Astyanax mexicanus: one gene and its partner. The protein of the gene in region 1 purifies or fractionates together with the protein of each later gene. This does not show direct contact. Links are inferred from orthologs where the notes say so. Each region holds a gene or a part of one and is shown in the gene's direction. Other genes may lie near its edges.

What was found.
Region 2: the proteins of pex1 (region 1) and pex26 purify together in Homo sapiens (affinity purification with western blotting; 3 studies listed by BioGRID and IntAct, with this or other methods). This does not show direct contact. The link is inferred for Astyanax mexicanus from reciprocal best matches to the Homo sapiens genes PEX1 and PEX26.

Annotation. Positions count from the first base shown.
Region 1 is NC_064410.1:48,089,080-48,099,460, reverse strand, and holds the start of pex1 (peroxisome biogenesis factor 1), read left to right. Parts: upstream 1-5,872; 5' UTR 5,873-5,983; coding exon 5,984-6,091; intron 6,092-6,200; coding exon 6,201-6,341; intron 6,342-6,449; coding exon 6,450-6,533; intron 6,534-7,354; coding exon 7,355-7,469; intron 7,470-7,552; coding exon 7,553-8,253; intron 8,254-8,864; coding exon 8,865-8,984; intron 8,985-10,381. Other genes in the region: efcab1 (calaxin), read left to right, coding at 957-1,112, 1,201-1,305, 1,392-1,543, 1,632-1,736, 1,938-1,973; rbm48 (RNA-binding protein 48), read right to left, coding at 2,075-2,134, 2,225-2,826, 2,917-3,062, 3,509-3,699, 4,483-4,605. UniProt on the Homo sapiens protein: Component of the PEX1-PEX6 AAA ATPase complex, a protein dislocase complex that mediates the ATP-dependent extraction of the PEX5 receptor from peroxisomal membranes, an essential step for PEX5 recycling.
Region 2 is NC_064409.1:30,362,768-30,373,781, forward strand, and holds pex26 (peroxisome assembly protein 26), read left to right. Parts: upstream 1-6,396; 5' UTR 6,397-6,553; coding exon 6,554-6,741; intron 6,742-8,012; coding exon 8,013-8,159; intron 8,160-8,260; coding exon 8,261-8,592; intron 8,593-9,759; coding exon 9,760-9,921; intron 9,922-10,124; coding exon 10,125-10,222; 3' UTR 10,223-10,821; downstream 10,822-11,014. Other genes in the region: foxm1 (forkhead box protein M1), read right to left, coding at 58-186, 1,009-1,200, 1,436-1,560, 1,786-2,197; rhno1 (RAD9, HUS1, RAD1-interacting nuclear orphan protein 1), read left to right, coding at 4,028-4,207, 5,254-6,003. UniProt on the Homo sapiens protein: Peroxisomal docking factor that anchors PEX1 and PEX6 to peroxisome membranes. PEX26 is therefore required for the formation of the PEX1-PEX6 AAA ATPase complex, a complex that mediates the extraction of the PEX5 receptor from peroxisomal membrane.

The DNA of each region.
Region 1 (10,381 bases):
TCAGGTGAATAGCCGCACCAGCAGAAGTGGTTACAACAATTCTTAGTTAAAGTTCATATAAATTTTGATGTAATCAGTAGTGAAAAAAGTGAGCAACTAGTCCAAGATCGTTGGCATAAACTGGGCCATGGGCAGCTGATCTGTGGTGGGTGACTGGATTCATGAAGAACAAGCAACATGCAACATTTTCATAGTGTGGTTCCGGCCAATCTGAATATAACAGCCTAACTAAAGGGAGAGAGCCAGAAGGTAACAGACACGGAGGCACCCAAAAAACAGTGGCATCCACCCACTTCACCAATTTTCTTCATGTCCAAGTACAGCTCTAAAACCAAGGAGTCGCACATTTGAATTAGGTAAAATTGTATGTGTTTACTTCAGGAATGGACATTATTCATTTTCTGAAGAGTGAGAACCCTGTAAACTCTTCTTTGCATTTCAGTCAGAGAAAAATGTCCTATTTTGTCTATTAGTATATAAAAGCCTACACCTGTAGCAGCTCTAATTCTTCCATAAAACAGAACCAAGCCTTCTTACCCAGCAGTTTTAATGACAACATAAACGTATAATACATTCCTTTTCTAGCCAGATACTGCAGGTCACGATCATTATTACATTAATGTAATAATGTAACACTTTATCAACAATTTACATTCTGCTACCTCATGACTTTTGACATGTCAGTGTATATACAGCCTATACCCATACAATCCTAAGGTCTCTAATTAACAATTTAAACAACAATGAGCCCAAAAAGAGATATGTACTATTTCAATGACCTCTTATCTGTGTACCAATTCATGCTGATTATTTTAATATGACCTGTAAGATGTTCTGATTGCAGTTCTGTACATTATTCTCTACTTAAATCTTTTTTTAATACTGCTCATGGTTTGTCCAACTCTGCCATTATCTGAAAGTCAATAAGTATAACCAGAACAATCCTCTTACTCTAGTTAATAAAACAGAGGCAGAGTGCCTCATTCGACTCTTTAATGAGTTGCTGGAAGGGCAGACAGAGAAGAGAGCAGGGCTTGGTCTGGACCGGGGAAAATTCAGAAACATCCTACACAACACGTTTGGACTGACAGACGACATGATTATGGACAGAGGTAAGGGAACTATTTCTATATGTAAAGGCTAGAACTTGTAGAAGTCAATATCACATCTCTAAAGCCAACATTTCTCCAACCCACACAGTCTTCCGGTCCTTCGACAGCGACAATGACAGCTATATCAGTGTAAAGGAGTGGGTGGAAGGACTGTCAGTCTTCCTTCGAGGCACCTTGGATGAAAAGATCAAATGTAAGACTGAGCTGAACAGATTGTGTGATGAAGATAATTCTCAGATCACTGTTCTTAATCCATGCTCATTTCTCTAAAACGATCAGACTGTTTTGAGGTGTACGACCTTAATGGAGATGGCTACATATCGAGGGAGGAAATGTTCCACATGTTGAAGAACAGTCTGATCAGACAGCCGACTGAAGAAGAACCTGATGAAGGGATTAAGGACCTTGTGGAAATAATACTAAAGAAAATGGTGAGACCACAGCTGGGGAGATAGTTGAGCACAGTCAGTCAAAAATATAACAGATACACTAAAAATGATTTCTGTTTTCGGCATTCAGGATTATGACCATGACAGCAGACTTTCATATAGTGATTTTGAGAAGTCTGTAAGAGAGGAAAATCTGCTATTAGAAGCTTTCGGAACTTGTCTTCCTGATGCAAAGGTAAAATTGTTAAATTTTACGTTTTGCAATGTTCTGCATGAGTGTCATTATTGTTTTAATAATTTAATATTCTTACTATACCATCCATCTTACTGTAATAATACTTAAAATGACAGTTGTCTGTCTTCAGATTTTTTTTATTTTGACATTTATAGAAAAATACAATTTAATAAATAAATGTGTATTTTTGTTTGTTTTCAGAGGACCCTGGAATTTGAGCAACATGCTTTCCAGTAACAAGTGAATCACTCATATAAAGAAAAATGAACAGTGCTATTTTACAATAAACCACTATTACAGTACATCAATAAAAAATGCACACTGAAGACAAGAGAAAATTATATTCTTCGCCGTGCTTTTACAGCTGTTGTCTTCTTTTCAGATGGAACTGATGCAACCTAAAAAGAAAAAGAGAGACAATTTCAGACATACGTTTTAACTATTCTATAACATTCATAACAGTAAAAAAAAATACTTATAATGCTGACCTTTGACATTGTTTGCCTGATGATGTTTGCCGTTTTGTTTAATGATGCATCTTCCATGTCCATCTTTGGTAGTTCTGGTAGTTTGGGTCCATACAAGGGGGCATTTCTGTCTGCCACACCTAACAAGTCTGTACTGTCCTCCATTTTCCTTTTCCTGTTTTCTAATTGTGCAGTCCTTGGTATAAACCTTGGTGCAGTGCTTGGCGGATGTTTGGGTTTTTTGATAATACTTCTCTCTTCGTTGCCAAAGGTAGAACCAGAAGGCAGGTCTGACCACTGTGTGGTCTGCTTGCAATCATCTGGGGCACGGTTACTAGGGATGAAGTTGTGTAAAGATCCCATTCTATCTTCTGTAGGTACACTGCCTTCATGTACAGTCTTCACAGACTTAAATGAGTCCTTAGATGAAAAATAGTGCTGATGAACTCTTTCATGAGGTGGTAGCGGCAATAATGGAAAGCTAGAAGATGTGCTGGAACTACAATTGTCCTCTTGGGAACTTCGAGGACATGTCCTATCTTCATACACTGATGATGGAGCTGGTGTCTCTGAACTGGCAGGAGTTGTTTTCTCTGTAGCCTGTTCTTGCTCACATTCCCTTTCTGTAATAAAGGTGCAGTACAACCAGACAAACTGGTTAATTACATGGATTGCAGAAACAAAAATGTGTGTGATGCAAGCGTACAAAATACCTAATCTTTGGGTTGTTCTGTAAACATATCTTCTCCTGTCCTGTAACTTCCTTCTTGTGTCTTCCACAGTCTCATGTTCAGGGGCATAGCAAACATGAAGCAGACCCCCATAGAAGCTTCTTTCATCTGTTTTTCTTTTGGCAGCCCTGAAACAGACAAAATTACTCAGCTATCAACAGATCTTGGGATATCTTAAAATGTGCTTGAAAACATGCATGATACATCTTAAGAGGCATGTCTTAACCAAGGAGGACATGTGTATACAATGTCCATTTGATAACATCTTAAGAGGCATGTCTAAACCAAGGAGAGTGTGTCAATAGAACGGTCATACTACTTCGAAATACTATCCTATCTATGATGTATAATGGGGATGTGTTTTTTAAATTTTATTTTAATATGGTTTGGCATATGGTTTAATGGCAACATTCAATGAAACTATTTAGCCTAAGTAAAATACATGCACATTACAGGGTTTAAGAAAAATGCTAAATTATTCTTATTTTAAATAAAACACAAGTGACAATTTTAATCTAACCATGCTATCTACTGTATGATTTACATCTTTCCATGTTTGAGGTTTTATTCTCACCTTGCACTTGTAAGCTTTTGGAACTTGATAAGATAAACTTCAGTGAACTGTTCTGCAGGATACTCATCCAGTACTCTGTATTCTTCCACCACTCCATAGAGAGCAAAGAGCTGCACCAGCTCAGTCATTACCCCAACAGCAGGCACTCCTTGCACCAGCAGAAACCGAGACTCTAGGTTAATCGTATAAACCTACAGATTGACAAAGCAGAAGATACAGGATACAGTCAGGATTAAGCCGAGCCGTAGACTGTTTTGCTTTATTGTGGAACATTTCCATTCACAAATATATGCGGCCCAAGATTAGACTTCTTTGTCTGGGAAACTGTCCCTATATATACACCTCTGGAAAAAAATTGAGACCACTTCAGTTTCTGAATCAGTTTCTCCGATTTTGCTATTTATAGTTATATGTTTGAGTAAAATGAACATTAGTGTTTTATTCTATAAACTATAATTCCAAATAATACTGTCATGTAAAGCATTTATTTGCAGAAAATGAGAAATGGCTGAAATAACAAAAAAGAAGCAGAGCTTTCAGACCTCAAATAATGCAAAGAAAACAAGTTCATATTCATAAAGTTTTAAGAGTTCAGAAATCAATATTTGTTTCTCTGATTACTTCTGATTAATTCTACGTGTCCCTTAATTGTTTTGATCTATATTAATTTAGAATGTAGAAAAGACAAATAAATAAACGAATAAAGAAAAAACATTGAATGAGAAGGTTTGTTTAAACGTTTTACTGGTACTGTAGCTATATAATTCAGTATACAGATAATATATACTTCATTATATATTATGTATTGTCTATCTTTCTGTTAACTAACTATAGATTTGGGGAGATTCAGTGATGACAGGGAGGCTCGTGTAGCCAAACAGCTAACTTAAGCTAGGCTAGCAGTCTAAACACTGGGGCTGTAGGCCCGTTATTCTCCTCTCAGTACGGAGTTTCAGTAAAAACAGCTCACTGACCTTCACAGCCTTCAGTCTCCTCCCTTCTCTGTACTTCGGGCGGGTGAGACAGGCGCTCTGCTGCTCGTGGTGTTTGTAGACCTGCGGTGTGTCCCACACAGAGCCCGGCTTCAGAGCCGCCATGATGATTACCCAGCGTCCCCGACAACAGCGCAGAACTAAACACAGACCCAGACCCGAATAATCAATCACAGATAGTGATCCACGTTCAGCGAGAAACACATACTGAAATAAACTGTAATCATGTAATAAAAAATGTTAAATAAAAATTTTAATAAATACAAAAATAGACAATAGTATATATTTTTGTACTAAAATATAGTACAATATATATAATATCGTATCATGAGAAATCGAGGATGTATCATCATTACTTAAAGAACACTGACCCAATCATACATTTTATTACAGAGAGTGATTTAATTAATAATCACTGTACAAAACATTGTGAAAGAGCATTTAATAGCAGAATATGCTACTGCTGATACATTTAAATAAATACTAAATACTGTCTGAATACTGTGCATTGTGAAAATGTCTTTAAATATTGTGTAAAATATTTATCAGTGTGTGAATATGTACAGCATGGGTGGAAACCCAAATTTATACTTTTCATATTGATATCAGAATTGTAGCGTGTCAACCAAAATTAAGAAATATATTTTGTGATGTATGTTTCCCACACTTTTGCCTTAAATATATTCTGAATGTTTCTGTATTCTGAATGTGCAGAGAGACATTTAAAACTATCATTACCTAGATAATCATTGTTTTAATGACAAAAACCTATTAAATCATGTAATATACATGCTAATGCATTTGTGAAATGGTAAGAAAAAAAATCTATTTTAACCTTTAATATTTTTAATAATTTAAATGTCCTACATGTATGAATATTTTATTAACAATATAAACATATACCCTTTCAATTTTATTTGTATTATTTTTATGATAAAAATATAAATGTATAAATAAAAAATATTTAATGTATAAAAAAATATAAAAATGTAAACATATATTTTTAATATTTATTATTTGTGTGGGCAGATTGATCTTTTAAACTATATCACCTTCATGTCACATTCATTTTCTAATGACAGGACCTGTTAAATTCTGTAAGATACATGCTAACACATTTTTAAAAATGATATTTAATTTAAAAATCTTTAAATGTAACATTTTTAGTTCATTTAAATATACATATACCTTCCCTAATTTATTTTGATTATTTGTGACCATTTAAAAACAATATTTCAAATATAAATAAATATTAAAATGTGAAAATATGTTTAAATGTTTATTATTTGTTAGGGCATACTGAGCTTCATATACATTGTAGTGATGATCGCACGCTGGTGGATGGATTGGTCAGGTCTGTCTGACAGTATTGACATGTTCAGCATGGCGCCTGATCCTCTGTAGTGCAGCAGGTCCTGAACACTAGTGCTGATTTATACAGTCTTTCAGCGCTAAAAGAGGCTTTAAAGCTCCTCTTTATGCAATGTTGGGGAACTGCGGAATCCAGCCAGTAACTCTGGCCTTCAACAACTCCAAAAACTGCTTTCTCCACCTGCCATCCAACTTAGTGTCTCAGCTCTCCCTCAGAGAGGTGTGTGTGAGAGTGGGTGTGTGATAGTATGGCTACGCTGCTCCTGCTTTATTAACTTGGGGTGCAGTCTAGTCTAGTCTAACTGTCCTGTTTTTATTGTCATATGCAGTCACAGGCCCTGGAGCTGTCCTGGGGATCATCTGCTCCAGTGTTCCTCAGCTGGATAAGAAGCCACGCAGCAGGTCAGGAGGACAGGGTTGAGCTGAACAGACAGTTAGGGGAGAAACTGGGAGTTCAGGAAGGAGAACAGGTAAACTCTGGAGTTGGATAAATGTCTGTATTACAGTTAACTGTAATTTAAGTTGATGTGATTTGCTTTTTATTTTGTTTTTTTATTTTTGTTTTTGATGTTTTTCAGGGCTTCCTGCGTCCATGTAGTCAGGTACAGTCTGTGCAGCAGGTGTTTGTAGAGCCTCTGTCCTCAGATGACTGGGAGATCCTGGTGAGTCTCATTCACCAAATAAAAAAACACTGCCCACCCACACTAAAAACTGATAGGCTGACTCTTAGAATAGGAGAGTAGGTTAATCAGAACCATCTCTGTTTTGTATTCACTCTGGCAGCTTCTATATGTAAAGGTGTACGATCTTCATTGTCCCATTTTGAAAATTTAATTAAACAGTAAGATTCAGTTAATCAAATTAATTGGATTAACTTCCCAGGTTGGGACCAAGTTTTAGTTTAAGGGTGCTTTTATTGCTTACTAAACTGCTGTGTGAAACCAAAACTAACCGGACCCAATGTACAAAATGTAACAAAGGCACAAACCTCAGTGCAGACTCTGGTCCAAACTTTTAGGTGTGAAAACACCCCAAGATTTAATTACAACTTAGTTACATGTTTAAGTTGAATACAACTTTTTAGACTGTTTTTTCTTTGCTGTTATGTATCTGTATATTCTATAAATTCCACTGTTGCACTGATGCACTATGCTTGCACAGGGTAGCATACAGTACAACAGGTCAGAACATATTTAAAAATAAGTCACTGCTGTAACCATATTGGTTTGCTCACTTCATGTTTTTTTGTTTTGACATGTTCCCTTTTTCTTACACACCTAAACCAAAAGGAACAACACGTTTTGGATAATGTTATAAAGTAAAAAAGTTAGATATTAAAGTTTACTTTTAGTGGAGTTAAAATTAAAATTATTCAGCCATGTTTATATACACACATAACAAAAAAATACTTATATACAGCAACTAATTACATTTACTTCATTACTGCCCTTTACTGATGACACCTAATGCCTTTGTTTTCCAGGAGCTTCACAGCACAGCTCTGGAACAGCACCTTTTAGACCAGATTCGAGTCGTTTTCTGTTCTGGGGTGTTTCCTGTGTGGGTTGACCAACACACTGTCATCTACATCAGGATAGGTCTGTTTCAAACACTTTTTATTAAATACTTCTTTAAAATCCTCAGTTCTGTCTGTAAATTGCTGTACCTCTTGTTCTTGTAGTCTCCCTGTCTCCATCTGTTCCGTATGGTCGATTAGAGCAGTTCACTGAGCTGGTTGTTTCCCCCAAACTCCGGCATGGAGGCAGGCAGCTTGCCCCAGTTTCTCCAGATACAAAGAACCCGGTCTTGCAGAGGCAGCAGAACATAGACCGTGGATCCTCCTCCACACCTTCCTCCACAGGAACTGATTCTTTCTCTGAGTCCATTCACAATCAGCCGGAGCCCAGTCAGAGACACTGGGCTGGAGTACCTGACCTGCAGAGCCTGGTGAGATATGTGTTCACAGGGAAATATGAGCCCGCCAAGGAGATTCCAGAAGTGCCCACTGTCCCCGCAGTCTTCCCAGATTGTGTCCTGAGAGTGTGTGGAACCCCACCCGGAGCAATCAGACATCTTGACCCAAATCATGGAGATGTTCACATGCTGCCATGGGACCAAATACAGTATGACTATTGGAGTACACAACAGCCAGTGTTAACGTATGGTAGAGTTTCTAAAATTCATTCTCCCAAAGAAGTGAGAGAGCAAGCCAAGCAAGCGATGGAGAAGAAAAAGAGTGGAAATAGCTCTCAACCTAAAAAGGAAGCACAGGAACCAGTGGAGGAGTCTGTGGTGGTCAAGATCCTTTGCCATAACACAGAAAAGCTGGAAGCAGACCAAAGATCCTCAGGAATGAGAGAGATTTACTGTGGGAAGGTGTGGGTAAGTGTTATACACTGATACACTTTACTTTTCTAGAATTAGTCTAAAACATTTGTTATAAAAACCTAATCTTAAGTATCTAATGAAAAACATTTATCCCCGTGTGCCTTGTCAAAAATTCTGGATGAATGGGCCAATAGAAATTTCCCAAAATTAGCTGAAATAAACTTTTTTTTTTGTTTTTACATTTACGTCCATTGAAAGAAATTTTTTATTTTTCCCATTTAAGTTGTTGTTTTTATGATATATGTTTTTTTATTGGACAGCAATTGGACTTGTGTACTAGGAAAGTAACAGTGCACATGTTTTTAGATTTCATATGACATAGGGCTGGGCAATATGTTGTGATTTTATTTATTCTAAATTATTTTTGGAAATTATACATAATCATAATCTTTATAATATCACAACTGCTACATAAGTTACCTTTTTTGTTAAATTTCAAAAAAGATTGTGGGATCCTTTGTGTGGAAATCATTTGGTACTCTGTAGATACATTGCAATTAAAGAAGCAGCATAACAACTTTATTTGACCACAAATCAGTGCAATGATGAATAAATAAAAATGTAAAAAATAATACATTTATTTTTTTATTCTATTCTCTTCACAGATCCCAAACATTTTACGATCAAGGCTGAGCATAGGCCTGCATTCTGCCGTGAGAGTTCGTCCTCTAACGTGCACCCCTGCAGTTGCACAGGCTGTCTTACTTCAGCCACTACGAACACTAGTAAGTGTATCTTTCTCTCTTAACTTGAAATATCAGACAAACGCAGTTCATTTATAATAAACTGTTAATAGTCGGACTAATAGCTGAATCAGAGTAGAACACGTGCGTGTAAACGTGTAAAGGTCATTCTGAATGCAATTTCTATTTGATTGAACGAGGTGGATAATCCTTTAAATAATCCATTAAATAGAACAAAAAATAGCCTTGTAAACACATGTACCCGATTAGATCTCCAGTCCGAAAGTAAATATTGCGCATGTACATGTGCTGCACGAAGGAAGTTTATAAAGCTGAACATCACTCCTCACTTTTATCCACTGCTTCCTAGTCATGGGCGGTGGGACTGGCATCCAGCTCACTTGCCTCAGAATGTTCAAAGACATTGAGGACGTAAGTTCTTCGTCTCTACCCTTCTTTAAAAAGAAACTGTGAATTAGGTTGTTATGGAGTCCGCCATAATTTTAACGCTGTTAGAAAAAACAAGCTTACCAGCTGCAAATTCTGGAAACATAACTAGTTATCCAGTTACTGTTGCTCCCCTCACGCTGGCTGGCATCACGTGCGGCCCGTTGTCCTTGTCATGGTTACGTGTACACTAAGCGATACTACACATGTGCGTCATGTTTGATTGGATTACTTGTAGCGTGCACATAATTTATTCAGATAGGAGAAAAGCTTTGCATGTAAACATAGCCAGTGTTATATGTGTTTATATATATTTTTTCCTGAGGTAGAACCAGTTAGTCCGTTCTCAGTTGACCTCTCTCATCAGCAAGAGATTCTGTCTGCAAAACTGCAGCTCACATGATGTTATTTTTTTATTACACCACTCAGGGTCAACTCCGGGAACTGCTTAAAATCACTGAGATAACATTTCTTCCCCATTCTGATGATTAATGTAAACATTTCCTGAAGCTGCTGACTTGTATCCACCTGCTGTTTTGTGAATGCTTTGCACTGATTAGATCACTGCGTGAATAAGCAGATGTATATCTCTGCCTGATGAATTGCTATGTGAGAACACCTATATGTTTATATTTAAAACATATCGTATTTAAAAGACTATAAGGCACACTATCAAAAATGGTCTATTTTATGGTCTGGTGTCATACATAAATCGCACCGGATTATAAGGTGCAAATCAAGCGATAACAGTAAGATACAAGGGTGTCGCCATGTTTCCGTTCTAGTTCAGCAGGTCTCGCCACAGGGGGAAGTGCCTATGTAAACAAAACTGCAATTCTTAAAAAAAACTTTGTCTTTCAAGTCAAACAAGCATTGGATTTTAATCTACACAGATTTCTCTCCTGAAAACTGTTTATTTAGGTGAGTGCTAGTTGTGGTTAGCTTGTGTTTAGCAGCAGTTAGCACTAGTAAACAATGCCCGACAGAGCTAG
Region 2 (11,014 bases), on another chromosome or scaffold:
ATGCAGTAAACACCTTTACTGTCCCTTGCTAAAAGATCAGGTCAGAAGTCAACTTACCTTAAAAACTTGATCTAAAGTAAGACAACGGTTAGCCTCTGGTCTAATGGTCCAGAAGGATATCTTGCCATCTGGTGTGCTCTCTCGCACAAACATGTCATGAAGAGAGAGATTATGCCGAATAGAATTCTTTAAAAAAAAAAAAAAAAAAAAAAAAAAGGAATAAAACAAATAATATCCATACATAAAATGATTAAATACAACACAATGCACAATGACTGGTGTTTGATTATTGAATGTTTAGATTAGGGGTTACCAATCATTGAAACCAAAAGCCACTTCATAGGTACCAATTAATGCTACGAGTTTGATATCCCCTTGTAAATTTCACACATTTGCTAAATTTACCTTAAATTATAAGTTATTATATAATATATTATATAAATCTCTGTAAGTATTTTACATTTTATATTATATTTTAATATAATACTACATAATATTACATTACAGTTAGCATGGTAGCTTGTGTGACTCATCCTGAAATGTCTCTCCACAATGTGCCTCTTTGCCATCGCCACGGTCTCCCCGCAAATGAGACACACACAGGTACCTTTCAGTTGTAAAAAATAACTTTCTTCCATTCATTGTGAAAATATATTTTCTTTCTTTTTTCTGCCATGTTGTCAGGGGTACATTGTCTCCTCACCTGAACCGATAGCTGGTCTCAATGGCAATTGTGGGCTATATCTAATTTAATATGGAACATTTTTTAAAGTTTTTTTTTTTTATTTGTTTTTAAATTTAAACCAATGCATCTGTGAAAAAAAGCTATTTTTAGAACAGGCCTGCGGGTTACTCAAAGTCCTTGTGGGCTACCTGGTGCCAGCGGGCACCATGTTGGTGACCCCTGGTTTAGGAACTCCTAATCATCTGTGATCTGGCACAAAGTTGACAAACATACAACTTTTAAAATTAGAAAATATTCAGAAAATGTTCTGCATTCAGTAATACCTTCCATCCCGGTTTGGCCACATTTCGATAGTAAGGGAAGTGGCTCTCTATCCAGTTATATATTTCCTTCAGTGTCATCTTCCTAGATTTCTTGCTGTTTATAGCAAACTGTATCATGGCCATGTAGGAGTAAGGTGGCCTTTCTGACAGAGGGATCTTAACTGCATCCATTTCCTCTTTAGCTTGCACTGGCTGAAAGAGAAAGCATGTTGATTTACAACAAGGAATCTCTAGATGCTTGCAGCTAAACTTTAAAAGAAAATGGTATGTCTGCTGCTGTGAACCAAAATTCTACTGGTAATTAAACTCATAATTAAGCAGACAATAGAAACAGTAGCTAATGTTTTTAGAATATATGGATTTTGTTATATAAATAATTATAATTATATTTACAGGTTTTCTATTTAAATGCACTTTTAGTATGTACCTGTTGAAGATTTTCAGATGATGTCTTTGCAGGCTCAGATCCAAGAACATCTGTGCTCATTTCTCCTAGCCACTGGATGCTTGTCAAGCTGTTTTCTAGTAGACTGCAGTTTGCTTCCTTTTTCACTGGCAAAACAACAATAAATGTGCGTATATTCTTATGCAGCAATTGTATATGTGAAGTTAATTCTCCAAATGCTCATGTAGAAATTACTAAACCAATACAGTGCAAAAAACAAACAAATAAACAGACATTGTCGTCTTTTAAAAACACTCACTTCTGTCACCTGTTAAATGAACATTTGGTATATTAAAGGTTTTAGGGTTTAAATAGTTCATATCAATACATACAGGGTTTTCTGTTTTCCAGCAAGTCTTCTTTAGCACATCCTTCTGGTCTACTTGAAGTTGCTCTAGACTGTGTCTCTGAAGAGGCACTGAAGAAAGGACAGACTCCATCCTCCAGACTACTACTGCCACTCAGTAAAATGAACTTGTTTGGCCCCTGAGGGCCACATTCCTTCCCTTTGGCAGTCAGCGCCCCGATGAGACTTTGAAGATCTGCAGTCTTGGGTATGACGACTACCTGTGTGTCAGGTTTTGTAGGATGGTCCATAATACAGATGCCATGAGGAAAGGACTGAGCGCTCGCAGTCGAGGCAGTCTTGGACTGAGGCCCATCAGTCTCCTCATCATGTCCACTTCTCTGAAAGGGTAGTTTCCTCCTCTTAAGGATCAGGGGCCTCCTGGGACTTTCCCTCATTCTTTATATCGCAGTGATATGGCTATCGTCCTGTCTGGCAGTCTGCATCAAGAAGAAAAAAAAACTGTTAATATTTAATTAGAGAATACTGCAAATGCTATCATAGTATTTGTATTTCATGGAATTTTCATAATAACTATACTCTTGGCAATATGACAAAACACTGAATATAATTTTTCTTAATGTATATTTTATTTTATTATTCCATATGATGTGATATAGCACACCCCTATTAAAAATAATTTTATCAGATTAGTAACAAAAGCCAATGATCCAGAATGTCATGATGCTAATAATGACCTCCAAATATTTTCCTACAAAGTAGTAACTTAACGTTAACCTGTTGTGATGATTAAAAGTGGGTGACATGGCAACGATATTTCAGGGTATATTATTGTTCACTATATTCCAAAAAAATGGCGAGATCACTGGCAAACCCCTATATCGTACTTATTAATAATGTAACGTTACAATCAATAATTAAGTAATAAAATACAAAATAGCTATCCAGTAAGCATAATATGTAGCTAGCTAAGCTAACGATAACTAGTTAGGTTATCAAAACAGCCGATCATAGAGTCACCTGAAATTCCGAGCACTGATGCAAGATTCAGTCTAACAGCGTTATGAGAGGCGTTACAAGTCAAACACCAGTAACTACAGCTAAACGTTACTGGGTGCTGATCGTCCTCCTATAATAGTTATATTTCTCTCCGATGGATGTTTAATCTCAGAACCGACGGTACCGGACGGCCGACCTGCCCACTTTTGAAAGTAAACGGATCCCGTGACGTACACTAGAAAACAACAACGCTAAAACATAATCGATATAACGTTATGTTTATGTTACACCGCAGGTAACCTAGGCTAACTTAGTTAACTGTTTGACTTGATCATTACACACTCTGGACAGGTGAGATTGCTGTGTGTGCTAACGTTATGCAGTTAGTTACCTAAGCTAACAGCTAACTACACAACGTTAGCATACACACACTGATCTCAATACGGAACCATGTAGCTAGCCTAGCTAACGCAGTTATATCGTAGGTTATGTATTTTTTTGTCCAGACTACTGTAAGTGAAGCTGTGCGCAGTTCAACAATAGCTGTCTCCAACGCATACGCCATGATTTCAATAAAGCACTTCTGCTGGCTGCAGCCGGATTTGTTATCTAGTATCGTTAGTTTTAGCACGGTCTAACACAAAGACCCGTGTCCAGTGTGTTAGCGCTTCAGTGCTACTCCCAGCAGCCTGTGTTAGCGCATATCTAGCCTCAGCCTGTGCACTAGCTAGACCGTCGCTTATTAAAATCGTTAAATATAAAGTTAATCAAACCTTCATATTACTCCAACTGCCTGGTAGTTAAGAGTCTTGTCGTTCTGAGAAGTTAAATCAGTGGACGAGTTCACTGTCCGCTCACTGCAGCAGGCGTGCACTAACACCAGTTTGAATTTTGGCGCAGTGCTGCGGGGGAGATCACGTGACTAATGCTCGACCAATAAGGTTGTGCGACGCTAGACAGGCCAGTGTGGTGAACCAATGAGAGACGGGAACAGAGACATGCAAGTCGAGGAGTGAGCTCTATTTTATCGTAAAAAACTTCATAATAATAACCACTCTACCTATGTTTAAAACAGTGATCAGAGGCAGTGTCTGCGATGTGAGCGTGTGTAGACTGTGTGACATACCGCCGTGGTTAGAATTTATGTCCTGAACTGTAAGCTACAGGCATGCGCAAAGAACCAGCAGAGCCTCGCTGTTCTGTGATTATGAATATATATGTAGTATGTGCACACTCTTTTCTTTAAATCAGGATTATCATGACTTCTCATGCCTCGTCAAACACGAAGACCGCGGCTGCCCACTCCACAAAAATCTCATCTTCTGTTTGTAGAACAGCCCAGAAACGGCACGAAGCACGAATACGGACACCAGTTAAGAAGCGCCATTAATCCGAGATCCTTTATAGCTGAAGAAACGTCTCGGAAAAGCTCCTCAGTTTCTTCATGGGTAAATATACACCAACCAGCATTCTCCCACACTGTCATGTGTGTGGTTCATTTAACATTTATTTAAAAAGGTAATTAATTACAGGTTTTCTCTTAAGGGGCAATTCTGATTTTTTTGTGAGGTTTTTGAGGTTATCGATAAGGAAGAGGGTCGGGGAAAAAAACATTGGTTAGTTTAAAAATAATTTTTGCCATGGTGTTTTGGGCTTCGCCCAGACATTTCAGATTGTTTAAAACATTTTATTATTTCCGTACACACGTACGAACACCTTAAGAGTGACCCTCCATGTAGGGGCGATAGAAGAGCGAGATATAAGCACAACATGAAAAAAGAAGAAAACACCGAGGTTCAGTCCCAAATCACACACTGCTTCCTATGTAGTGTATTGTGCAGGTCGGGAAAATAAAGATTCTTAACCTAAATAGATCATTTTATATTCATACTAGATCAGTGTTTATATAGTTATATGGAATTTGTTGATATACTAATAGAAAGCCTTATGTGACTACGGAGCAAGAAGGTCTTTTTGAGTTTCAGATAGAAATTTGCATTAAGGTGTTAAGTGAGTGTGTACATGCCCAGGCGCAGTCAGTGGCGCTGCTGCAGGGCTTGGGGAACAATGACAGTTAAGGGCTTGGCTCCCGGGGTCCAGAAGCTTGTGGAACTCTGGTATTAAACCTGGATTAAAGATGCACTGTATTATATGAAACTTGGAAAATGAATTACATCCTAAAATTATCTAAATCTAACTTCTATAAATTAATGTGTCTAGATGAAATATAGCTCCAAGGTTATGAAGATACCAATTAGATACATTTCTTGTTTATTTGTATGTGTAACCTATTTACTAATAACCACTAGCCATTGGTATTTTGTTATTTTTATTTACCTATTTATTATATTTTTCTATTTTAAAAAGGAAGATTTTAACAGTAAAGTAGCAGTTAATGTACAATGGGAATATTTGATAAATGAATTATCTAAAAGGAGTGCAGTAAACATTATTGACAGTAAAACAATATTAATGTGAATTTTATTTATTGCAGGTGTCTCCCCAGTTTATATCCCAAAATGACACAGCAGTCAGACGTGGTGGACGTAGGAGGAAGAAGAATCGCCTTCCCACAAACACAATGAACACAACCTCAGCTCTGTCTTTGCATCAGGTCAAAAGAGCAACTGCTGGAAGATACTCTTCTTTGTCATTTAGGACAAGCACATCAGTTTCACAGAGACATCACGGTGCTTTCCACAAAAACACTGCCTCCAGGGCTGGGGAATTACCAAAATCTCAAGATGTGAGGCGTTCTCAAAGTGACAAAACGGGTTCATCTCTCAATCAGAATGAGGTTCCTGAAGAGACTCCTAGACAGGGACCTTCTCTCACCGAAAGGGGGCAGAAAAGAGCTACACCAGATCCTACACTGACCCCCAACAGGACCTCGGAGTGTGTGAAAACACCACTTGAATTCATACATGGAAAAGGGAGCACTGTACGCTCTCATCACAGGCCTGCACAGGAAGCAGAAGACACTAGCTCTTCATTCACTCCTCCCCACGTGGAGACTCCTGAAATACCACACAGTGTGCACTGCCTTTCCTCTCCCGTTCTTTCCATACCATTTTTTACAGATCAGCCAAGCACTCAAAACATGAGTGTGTTAGTGAAAGACACGCCTGAGAGAGACTATGGTTTGAAGGTGACTTGGAGAAGGAGGAAAAAACTAATGAATTTACTTTCAGAACGAGGTCAGCTCTTGGTCAGTGAGGCAATGATCAGCCGGACGTGGTTATAGACTGTCAAAATGATATGCTGTATCACTTGCCTGCAAACTGCACTGTTTAAACGTGTAACATCATTGATAGAAAAAATTAATGCCGCTTAAAATATTACTGTTAATACTATTGTATTTTATAGCTTACATTGGAATATGTTAAGCTGTATTTAAAACACAAATTAAACATTTGTGTACAAACAACTGAGGTCTTTTAATTTGTCGTTTGGTATGTTTTTTTTTTTTTTTTTTTTTTGCTTTTTGTTTACGGAAGCAGCGTATGTAAGGGGTACGCTCCAATTAGAGCGGTAAACTTCCAGCCAGAAAGATGTCTGATGAATTCTGCTAGAGGGCGAAATCCTACGCCCTACCAAGCATGCTAGTTAGTACCGAAGTGAGTATATTGGAACGCAGTACTAAAGGTAGGAGGAGGGGCGACTGGAGTGTGTACCGACGCGTCTGTTGCAGCTTGAATGTGACGGAGATTAGTTTGTAAATTGTTTGTAAAAACGTTGCTGGTAATTTAAACGGATTCGCCATTAGATCACAACACGCAGCTGATTAAGCCGCTATGCGGAGCAGCTCGTCAGCCTCGTGTCGCCTCGGCAGTCCTGCAGCATGTGTGTTGACTCCTCGTGCTGGACTGGTGCACGCTGCCGTCCAACATTTAATGATTACAAAAGATTTTCAAGCAGCATTTGACACGTGTGAGAGGGGACTGGAAAGTTTATTTAGCGCTGAAGATCAAGAAGAGTCGTGGTGGGTGTACTGAAACGTAGCTTCACACTTGCAAGGTTTAGGGTCTCCCAGTTTAGTGGAATACCATACGAATTAATTGGGATTATTGGAGTCTTGTGTAACCATTAGGCCGAGATAAACCGTGGAAAGCTCGCCTTTCCACAGTCGTGCATTACGATCCATATGTTCTTGATAAATCGAATGAGCTGTTGATTTATTGCAGTTATTTCATTGTCGTATCGTGAACTTGAATAAGTAACGACCTATTTAAAATTGGAGCACTAAACAATATGAACATGCATTCATATGAAAATATTATGAGCATCTCTTTGTTACTACTCACACACTTATTTGTGCCACTGATCATATATGATCACTTTGTAGTTCTGTACTTACAGACTAATCCTTAATCTGTTTCTTTGCATACTTTATCCTCCTTTCACCTTGTTCTTCTATTGAAACCAGCACAGAGCTGTTGGGATAACTGTGTTCACTCACTGTTCACTTTATTAGTTGTTTAAAAACTCTTGACAGTAGGGGTCTGACCCACTAATACCAGCACAACACACATTAACACCTCATAAACCCCCACCATGTCAGTGTGTGCAGTGCTGGGAGTTAATCCACCGTCCAAATAACAGCTGCTCTGTGGTGGTCCTGTGGTGTCCTGAGTTTTGAAGATCAGGGTAAAGGGATAATAATTTATGCAATAAAACAAAATGACTACACACTGTAATTTTAGAACTAGAAAGTGTTTCTACATGGTCAGTGGAAATGATAAATCCTACCCATTTAAAATTTCTAGTGTAGAAACAAGGACTGTACAAGTACAACACAAAGTGTACATGTATCCTTTTATTTCTGTATATATTAAATATATATATATATATATATATATATATATATATATATATATATATATATATATAATGTGAATGGCAATCCCACTGATCACATTTAGAGTGGTTCATATGAATTGCATACATGTATTGTGATATTATTACGCATTTAATAAAAAAACAAGAAGCTATTACATGACTGAAATTCCTTAATGATAGAGAGGTACATATACAATAGCAAATTAAAACTGACAATTTTACCATCATAAACCAGTTGATCATCATTATTGAATATTCAATTAAATGCATATTTGTTGACTGGTTGCACTGAATATTAAATAAATTATTGGTATTGTGGACTTTGCATCAGATGACTCAGCATGACTTTTCAAGAATTCTATTTAATTGCGCCAATGTAGGTGTAATTTTACTCAGATCTGTTTGTCTTCATAGTTCCAGACATGGTGAATTGAAGGCATCTTTTTGCATAGTCGGAATTCAAGCTTTGGCTGAGCTTAACCAGTGGCGTGATGTCCTTCAATGGGTCTTACAGCACTATGGGGAAACAGAGAAAATACCTGCCAAGATCATGCAGATGTGGTAAAAGTATTGCTATTGCTTTATGCCCGTTTGTGCTTGTGTTTACTGTTAAAATAGCAATGGAAAAAAACAAATAACTATTATATAATATACTATTACAGCATTCTTTTGTACACCAAAGTGGCTGAGCAGGCAGAAGTGCTGGAAGCAGTCCAAGCTTGGCTGCACTGCCCCAGTAACATGAGCCATTCAGGATACAGCAGTGTAGCAGAGCTTTACATGTTGCACATCCTTCTGCCACTGGGCCAAACCAACATGGCCATACAGCTGCTGGAGGACGAAGTGGGCCAGGCTGCATTTACTGAGGACCAGAGACAGACTGCACTAACTATAGTAGACAATCATAGATCCAAAAGAGAGTCCACTGTGTATCCAAGCCCTGAAAGTGTCTCAGTAGAGGCAGAGACTACTGGCAGAGTTCATACATCCCAAGGTATGTCTCATTAAGTGGTAAAAACAAACACTATTGACAATTTCTCATGAATAGTAATGAAAGTAATAAAGTACTGATCAGTTTTTTACATACATCTATGTCTGTAGATTCTATTATACAATTATTTATTGTAGCCTGTTTATAACTACTTTTAAATACACTGCCCGGCCAAAAAAAAGTTCACACATTCCAATATTTCGTTGGACCACCTTTTAGCATTAATGATGGTAGCGTCTGGCTGCTGCACAAAGCCTTCTCCAGCACATCCCAAAGATTCTCAATGACTCTGTGGTGAACAATCCATACATGGAAATTATGATCTCATGCTCCCTGAATCACTCTTTCACAATTCTGGCCCCATGAATCCTGGTATTGTCATCTTGGAATATGCCCGTACCTCCAGGGAAGAAAAAAATCCATTGATGGAATAACCTGGTCTATATTCAGTATGTTCAGGTAGTCAGCTGACCTCATTCTTTCAGCACATACTGATGCTGAAAGAATGACCTGAATAAAGACCTGATCAACTACAGCACCCCCAAATCATGTACTTAGTTAAATCTAGGTGGCGACTTTTATTTGGTCAGGCAGGCGTATATGTAACAATCTTCAACTCCATACGTAAGTGGAAAGGGGCCACAGTAGGCTCACTTGTCCCCTAATATTACAACCCCAAACCAGGGCTTGTATTTTTCATCATAGCCTTGACACTCAAACTGTGATGCTTGTAAACACTGTAAAATTAACAAGCATTTTATTGTACAAGTAGCTTATTTATTTCCATGCACATTTGTGTTCACCGTCCTTGTCACAGTGGTCAGCTTCTGATTATAGTACCACTGTTAACTGGATATTTTGTCAAGTTTTCAACTTTGCAGTCATATTAAGGCACCTAAACCTTTTGTGCTTTCTATGTATAACGTTGCAGCATACCACTATGCTATGATTATGCCAGTGTCACTAAAAAATCTGCTCATTGGTGAACATATGGTTTATCTGATTATATGAGGAGTAGCTGATGAACAGTGCAGCAAAAGATGGGCCATAGTCAGTAATAGTAAATGTACATCTTTTAAAAATACAGGTGCACTGTACATGTATATGATTTAACTAATTGGAATATCAGTGTCGTTTTTTTTTTATAATTTGTGTGAACACTTCCTAAAGGGTTTTACCTTTTAGGTTCTCTGGTCCAACGGTTAAACGCTCTGGTGAGATTGTTGTACAGAAGTCTTTCTGCAGCCAGCACTAACATCAGGTCCCGTTCTCTTCAAAGAGCTTTTCTGCTTGTGTTCCTGCTATACCTGCTGCTTGTCCGCAATGACCCAGGTAAGAGGACGGGTGTGTACAGCTCCTGTGTGTTCTCAATAACATGTAGCTGGTGGTGTGTGTACACCCAGAATAGCTCAGCTGATTCTGATCTGTTCAAATTGAGCATAAAAAAATTTAATAACTGCTATCGAAACCAACAATGCTTCAAAAGCATTTAATAACAGATCATTCATTTATTTCAACACATTTTTAATCCACAGCTTTGCCCTCAGCCTATCCATGGATCCTTCGCCTGTACAGACTCTTCCAGCAGATGTGGAACACCATGTTCGGACCATATTACAGAGCTTTCTCCTGAAACCTTAAGTAGTTCTCAGCTACGTAAAGAAAAACAACACTGGAAATACCAAAAGAGTAAAAGCTACTGTAACACTCAAGTACACAAATGCTCTTAAGAACTAAACTTGTCAGAAGTGTTTACATGCCATGTCCTAAGATTTGTAAGGTTTATTCCCTATTAATTAAGATGTTTAACCTTCAAGCTGCATTAAACACTTCTTTCGAGTGCATGAAATTTAATGTAATCCTAAGGATCAGCTGTCCAACTTTTATTTTACATTGTTAGCATTTGGCATCCTGTCCTATAACCCTTGTTGGTGTATCATGATAAACGTGTCTGGCCGGGAGTCAAACCCTAGTCTGCAATTTTCAAAGAGGTCTAGAGTTAATATATTCTGTAAGCAGCAGCCTGCAAGCGTGTCATTTATTTAGTTGTGGGGTTAGAGATTAAAGCATTAACTGAGATTAAATGAGTCACCTAACTACTTAAACTAAGTTGTTGTGTGTTGTAGTTTTAAACCATAATTGTTTTAAACTAAACCCACCAATGTGAAACATGCCAATACTGTTGCACTGCTACATGAACTGCAATAGAAATAAAAAATAAATAGATCTGTATTTTTTGTGTGAAGTATGATTTATGGAGCATTTTAGTTTTGTAAACATAAAAGTAAAAATGAAGATTTAAACTTTTCCTATGTAAAGGTCTTTCTTGAGTGGGCTAACAGACTACTTTGATCCTTGTATCGCTGGTTTAAGTCTCAGATCATGCTGCTACATTATCGGCAGATAGAGCCTCAGACAGCATAAA